Sus scrofa: one gene and its partner. The protein of the gene in region 1 interacts with the protein of each later gene in a pairwise test. Links are inferred from orthologs where the notes say so. Each region holds a gene or a part of one and is shown on either strand. Other genes may lie near its edges. The genes, in order: SETDB2 and ARL14EP.

Region 1 (3,825 bases):
ACAACAGTAAAATGCAATACTCTGATAAATGTACTGGTGTTCTGTAGTAAGCCACTAAATCACTCAAAATGTAGTGAGAGTAAGTAAAACATAAATACTTCCAAATGAAAGTATTTGAAAAGAGGCATTTTTGAATAAAATACATTGTATAAGACACAAAAGAGAAACCTATTCCACCTGTCCCATTGTGATTTTTTTGAAGTGAAGCTTTTGAAAACCTTTTGATAAACACATGATTTTCTTACATACCATTTCTTATAGTTTTCCTAAGCAAACGTTTACTGTATGCCAGCTACCATTTAAGCACTTTTTATATTAACACATTTAACCTTCACAACATTCTAGACAGTGTTACTATTATCTCCATATTATAGAGGTGGGAAGTATGGCATAGAGAGGTCAAACAGCATGCCCAGGTCATACAAGTGGAGGGCTGGCATTCTAATCCAGGGAGTCTAGTTTTGGAGTCTGTTAATCATATTTTCCTCATGATTTTGTTAAGAAGCCTAGAAAAAGTGTTTAGAAATAAGAATCTCAGCCCACATACTCACATTAAGGAAGCGTCCCACATTTCCTTCTTTTGTGGCATCCAATAAAAACATACTGCCTTTATTGAACTTCTTTGGAGAATCAGGTGAAGCATTCTTGGTTTCACTTGGTATCTCTTTATCACAAAAGGCCTGCTGGTTTTGACATGCTGGAGACTTTTTCTCTTGGGGCTTTTGTTTTTGAACCTCATTCGGATTATCCAGTGTGACTGCTTGGTTATATCTGCTCCCCTGTGGAGTTTCTTCTCTACATTTAGTTATATCTATCACATCCAATTCAATCAGAGGGTTGGCTTTAGAATCTTCAACTTGGTTTGAGCTTGAATCCACTAATAAACATTTTGGAAGGAATTGTCAGGAAAAATACTTGACTAAGCAATAGTGCTGAGAGCAGTAATACTAATTAAATGCTCGTTACATTCATTATTGCTAATCCTTACCATGTGTTAAGGTAGACAGTACTCCAATTTTACAAAAGAAAACTCTGAACTTTTGAAGTGTTAAGGGATTCACCTCTATTGCAATAATAAGGCAGGGTGGGGGTGGGGGGCAGTAACAAACCCAAAAATATCTGGCCCAAAATCTACCTTCTTTCTACTATGTAACAGTGCCTTTTAATGAATCTGTATATATGTTGCTCCCGGTTACTATATTTAATCTCTACTCCTTAGAAACTGACTTACCTCTTTTCAACTTTGGAATGTGCATTCAAGTATACTCTAAACGGCTGTAATTAGGGAGCATTGTAAGTCTTTAAGGTATCAATGAAAGGCCAGAGAAGACCCTGATGGAGTCGCCCTCTCTAAGTCCCAACAGCAATAACTATTGCTATGGGTTCTGCATACATTAGTGTTTGGCATTTTTGCTATATGATCATTCAATAATTATACCTCTACAAACAATAGAAGAAGACAAATTACTTATCTTTCTTAATCAATAATGGAAATAATCTTTTGGAAATACTCAAAAGTATGCATGCATGTCAAACAGAAGTAAAATGATTTATTTTTTTAAGTTATTTGTGCCACGTTATTCAGTGGCACAAAGAAATTCTACTTCTCTAAAATTAATGTTTTTGATGTAATCATCACGGTTGCTGGCTGTTTCTACATGTACTTATAATTTAATCATGGGTTGCTTGTAAGCCATAACAGTACATAATTAATTTTTGTAGTGCCTGCTATATACACATGGTCAATAAAAATGACAAAAGAACCAAAAGCAATAGTACTCATATGGCTCACAGGTGTTAAATGGTGACATATTAGAATGTCATCCTAAAATATGCATCTTTGACATAAGAACTATTTTGAACTAAGGGCAATTAAGCAGAAATTCAGGAAAAACTCTCAGCCCTCCCAATCTGTCTAAAAGCAGGATATAAATTTACAAAGGTGTCCCTCCTCCTACTATGAAGGACAAAAGTTAATTACCAGAGACAACTTTGGACCTACAATCGGTTTCACATATACCTGCCTTCCCACAATTACTACCCCTAGAGACGCAAGGTCCTTTTCCTCATTTCCTCTAAAAATTTACTGTCCTTACTGAAATGCTAGATAAGTTAGAGTTCAAGCCACCTCTTCAAGTTACTCATCTCTGAGTACTCTTGTGTGTTACAAGTATAATACACAGAGTAATACACTTCTGTTTTTCTCTTGCCAGTCTGTCTTTTATCAGTCTAATTTATAGGATCCCAGCTACACAACTTAAGATGGGTAGGGAAAGAGACTTTCTTCTTCTATTTAAGTGCCCTTTTTATTTTTGTCTTTTTAGGGCCACACCTGTGGCATAAGGAAGTTCCCAGGCTAGGGCTTAAATCAGGGCTGCAGCTGCCGGCCTCCACCGCAGCCACAGCAACCCAGGATCCAAGCACCATCTGTGACCTATGCCACGGCTCATGGCAACGCCGGATCCTTAACTCACTGAGAGAGACCAGGGATCAAACCTGTGTCCTCATGGATCCTAGTTGGGTTCATTACCACTGAGCCATGACAGGAACTCCTAAGTGCCCTTTCTTGACAGACCTTTTCTGTTAAGGGGCTGTCTTGCCTCCTCCAATCTCCAGCCTTTAAGATCAGGTGGGGAGTTGGGGATGCAGAAACAAGGAAGCCCAAAGGGAGAAGAGGCAGTGGTTAGTCAGTTCTTCAAAAAGGGTCATCTCTCAGCATGCCTCCCATTGAGGGAAAGAGTGAAATGTAAATGAACCAAAATCCAGGTTCATCAGGTTGTGATATTAACCACGGTGGGACTGGTAACACTGAAAGACAAGCACTCAGGGCAGCAATATTTTCACCTTTTGCTAAGCATCCCCTGCAGCATCACTGGCTAGAGTACTGCAGAATGATGTACCTTTATTTTTAAAGAAGCCTAAACAAAGAGGTAGGAAATGGCTGTTTTGGTTAATGCTTCCAAAGCCACAGATGGGCTACGTAGACTCAGCGTTGTCCAGCCCATGTTCCTGCCATGCATCAGGTCAGAGTTGGCATCTAGACCAGGGGTCAGCAAACTTCTTCTGTAAGAGGCCAAACAGTAAATACTGCAGGCGTTGTGGGTCACATAGTCTCTGTTGTGACTATTCTGCTTTGCTGCTATAGTGTGAAAGTAGACAGAGACAATATGAAAATGAAAGAGTATGGCTATGTTCCAATATAACTTTATTTATGGACACTGAAATTATAAATTCCTGTAATGTTCAAGTGCCACAAAGTATTATTTATCTTTTCATTTCTGCTCAGTTATTTAAAAAAGTAGAAACTATTTTAGCTCATAGGCCATGTATAAACAGGTCGTGAGCTGGATGTGGCCCACAAATCATAGCTTGCTAACCTCTGATCTAGATAAGTAGAAACTTGTGATTAATGCAGTATTTTTGTTATGGAGTCTGAAAAAAATGAGCCACAAGTATTGAGCAAGAGAGACAAAAAGGCAGAAGAGGCAGGCAATCACAGAGTGAAACAAAGCCTACTTCTCATTTCCTTGGCTGGAGAGTTCAGATGTACTTGAGTTGATTTAAAGCCACCATTATCTTCTGAGGTGAGAGACTCTGAGGAAGAAAATCCCTTAAAAGAAAACAAAGATGATGTCGTTTCTTTCTAGATGAAACTAAAAAATAATTTAGTTTAGCAGTAAGGCTTCTCTCTTCAAGTGTCAATCTTCACAGGCTGTAGCTACTACGTTAGTTTTGAAAACCTCAAAGCTGATATCCTAAAATCTTGAAAGTGATTGAGCCCCTTTGGCTGTGTTCTACTCCTAGGCATTTAACTGAGCCATAATT
Region 2 (3,825 bases), on another chromosome or scaffold:
AGTGAAATACCTCTGTAATTTCCTTTAATGTGATGCTTGTTACCATCACTTCCTCTAGCATATGTTCATCCTTTTCATCACACCCTTCCTCATTTATGATGGTAAGTCTGCCTTCACTAAGTTCCTCTAGCTGCATGTCAGAGGCTTTAGAATACAGCAGTGCCAACAGTCCAATGATCAGTGATTTCTTCTAGACTCCATCTAAGTTTAAATGAAGTCTCACTGCTGGCATTATCATTTTCATTTCTTCACTGCACTTTCATCTTTGTTGGCCAATTCTTCTCATTATCCACTTTGTAAAATGTCACATGGGTGACAAGGAGACAACACAACTATGTGCTTTGCTGTCTGTAAATAAACTGTAACAGATGGGCAGTGACCAATCTAGCAGAATTTGAGAAAAGTAACATGACTGGTCACTGATCTTGAAACACACCTGTTACTCACAAAGTGATATGTGGACTTAAGAACTAGCAGGAAGTCTGCACTTCATGTAACTACTGAATTAATAATATACCATGGTAACTGAAATTTGAACTGTGCTGTTAGGGAACTAGTTTATCTAACTAAGTCATTGTCACTGAAATCTGTGGACATGGGAACTGTGCAAATCAAGGACTGCCTATACACTACTTGTTTATGTGGACATGGACAGGCTTAAAGCTGACTGAGTAATAAATAGCCCATCTAAATTTATACCAAATAATGACTCTTAAAGCACTCTACAAGCAACATTAGTGCACATGGAGTGCATGTTGAGATGGTTTTCAAATTTTCGTCATTTGGCAATCAACTTTAAAATGTGTCTTAGAATAACAAAATTCTAGATATAGAGAAGGGACCTTTAAAGATCCCCTAATTTGATACCACAAGTTATCCAGCATGTTTGTTATGAATTATTTCTCCTCCTTCGATTTCAATCTGCTCATACAGCCACTTGCGGTCACAGCGGCATTCGGCTCCACATTTGGTAGAACCACAGGCAGGACAAGCATAGAAACATCCTAAGCAGTCTTCATCGAGGCAGTCGCAGAGGTCCATTCCACTGAAAATGAGGAGACCCTGGCTATCATAGACCTTACTCTTCGCTGGGATCACTTGTCTGTAATACAAAACACAAGGTGAGTTACACCTCACAAATACATTATTTCTGAATATCTTACTGAAAATAAAGTAATGAAAAGATTTTAAGGAGATAAAATGTTTTGAATTAGGGATGAAATCCTGCCAAATCGATACATGGCCTACCAGATTCATGGCTACTCTACAATTAGTAGTTAATGAACTCCTTGTGAAAGTAAGAGATTTATTTCACTCTTAAAGCATTAAGACAAATCCTAAGGAATGGACAAGAACTGTGTCCCAACATATTAAATTTAAAAATTATTTTCCCCTTGCAAAAAAAAAAAAAAAAAAAGGCTAGGTAATAATGGTATATTATTTTATTAGCAACCAATCTCTTTACTGCTTTGTGAACATAGTTTTTTTTTATGAGATACTATTCAATTGTTTTTATACTATAATTAATCTGTTTCTTGTTCTTTAATGGACTCTAGCAAATCTGGCCTAAAAACACATGACTTAATGGAAAACTTTAACAGATGGAATAAATGGCATATGCAGAAAAGAATTCTGAATGATTACACTAACATTTCATTGTCAATTTGTATTTTAGAAATGTTCAATTTAAAAAGTCACATTCTGGGAGTTCTCGCTGTGATACAGTTGGGTTAAGAAATCAACTGCAGCTGCTTGGGTTGCTACAGGGAAGTGTGGTTCAATCCCGAGCCAGGCACAGTGGGTTAAACAATCCAGCTGCTGCAGCTTGGATTCAATCCCCGGCCCAGAAACTTTCATATGCTGCAGGTGTGGCCATATTCTGGAGTTCCCTTGTGGTGCAGCAGGTTAAGTAAGGGGCATTATCACTGCAGCAGCCTGGGCTTCTGCTGTGGTGTGCATCTGATCCCTGGCCTGGCCTGGGAACTTCTGCATGCTGCCAAAAAAAAAAAAAGTCATTCAAAACAATTTAGAATTCCTGTTCATTCTATTGACTGTACATTAACGGTTTCTATTTTAGACACTTAAAAAATAAAAACCACCTTTCATTCTCATAAAGTTTATTTTTTAGCTGCCACTCATAGAGCAGAGATATACCAATTACATATATATACCAAATATATATACATATACATTTTTTGGGCTACACCCATGGCATGTGGAGTTTCCCAGGCTGAGTCAAATTGGAGCTACAACCCTACACCACAGCCATATCAATGCTGGATCTGAGCCATGTCTGTGACCTACACTACAGCTCATGGCAATGCCAGGTCCTAAACCCAATGAGTGAGGCCAGGGATTGAACCCATGTCCTCACGGATACTAGTTGGGCTTGTCGCTGCTGAGCCACAACAGGAACCCCCCCAATTATATATTAATGCTTTTCAAACAAGTGAATTCATTTAATTGTAAGAAGCGTATGTTTAAATTATTTTAATTCTTGTGCCAAAAATACTGTATTGCTTCCTTCATTGATATTTTCTGAAAAACAAATTTTTAGAGGGGAAGGGAAGCCTTAATGTTACACGAGGCCCTTAGAGATTCTTACTGATTCATTCCAGATTTTCTTTTTTCCAGATTATCTTTTTTATTTTTTTTTGCTTTTGAGGGCTGCACCTGTGGCATATGGAGGTTCCTGGGTTAGGGGTCTGATTGGAGCTACAGCTGCCGGCCTACACCACGGCTCACAGCAACAGCAGATCCTTAACCTACTGAGCGAGGCCAGGGATCGAAGCCTTAATTCCAGATTATCAAATTTAAAATGTCTAACCAGAAAACTCAAAACTTAAAAGAAAAATATTTTAAAAATACACATGTGAAGCAGCAACACATGCCTTAAAATTACACATAGCCTACCTGTCTGAACCAGCAGTTGCATTTTTTGTAAGCCTTCTTTTTTCTCTTTTACCAGTTTCTGGAGCAAATTCAGTTTGTTTTCCCGGGTTTGCAAATTGTAATGACCTCAAAGCCTTAGCAGTTCTTCCCTGAATAAAGGTAAACAAATTATCAACTCAAATCTTGATACCAAAACCATACAAAGATTAATATTTCACTTCAAGTTAATCCAGATTATTCCTTAACCTGGAAGACACTCTGGAACTCACAAAAAAGAAAAAAAAGGTTTTAGTGCTCGTATGCAACAAAATTTACATGGCCCTGGACCACATTTAAAGTTCATTGATTAACTTATTTATAACTGTTTCTTTATCTAATTTTAGTCTCTGAATATTAGAAGAGGAGGCAGGCATGGTGAAAATCACAATGGCTGCTGCCAACATGGGAGAGAAGGCAGAAAAACTGTATAACCCAACAGCATATATAGCAGAGGTTCCCAACAAGGATGTTGAGTCCTTAGGAAAAAGTTCTATTACACACATATTTTTTTTTTCTTTTTAGGGCTGCACCCTCAGGATATGGAAGTTCCCAGGCTAGGGGTCAAATTGGAGATGCAGCTGCTGCCTATGCCAGAGCCAACAGCAATGCCAGATCCAAGTTGCAACTGCGACCTACACTGCTGCTTGCGCCAACACTGGGCTGGATCCTTCACCTACTAAGCAAGGCCAGGGCTCCAAGCTGTACCCTCGTGGATACTAGTCGGGTTCTTAACCAGCTGAGCCACAACAGTAACTCCCTATTACATGTATTTTTAAAAGCAGAGAATATAGTTCTGAAATGGTATTATAATCGTCTAAAAAAATTTGGTGAAATAAAATTTTGATGGCTATGGGTTCATAACCTGGGGAAAAGAAAAAGGTTTATGTAATACAT

Evidence for each region.
Region 2: the proteins of SETDB2 (region 1) and ARL14EP interact in binary tests that used the Homo sapiens proteins (3 or more experiments, as listed by UniProt). The two-hybrid records come from large-scale screens. The link is inferred for Sus scrofa from reciprocal best matches to the Homo sapiens genes SETDB2 and ARL14EP.

What each region holds. Positions count from the first base shown.
Region 1 is NC_010453.5:18,260,114-18,263,938, forward strand, and holds part of SETDB2 (histone-lysine N-methyltransferase SETDB2), read right to left. Parts: intron 3,611-3,825; coding exon 3,517-3,610; intron 878-3,516; coding exon 552-877; intron 1-551. UniProt on the Homo sapiens protein: Histone methyltransferase involved in left-right axis specification in early development and mitosis. Specifically trimethylates 'Lys-9' of histone H3 (H3K9me3).
Region 2 is NC_010444.4:30,297,806-30,301,630, forward strand, and holds part of ARL14EP (ARL14 effector protein), read right to left. Parts: intron 3,042-3,825; coding exon 2,914-3,041; intron 1,103-2,913; coding exon 874-1,102; 3' UTR 1-873.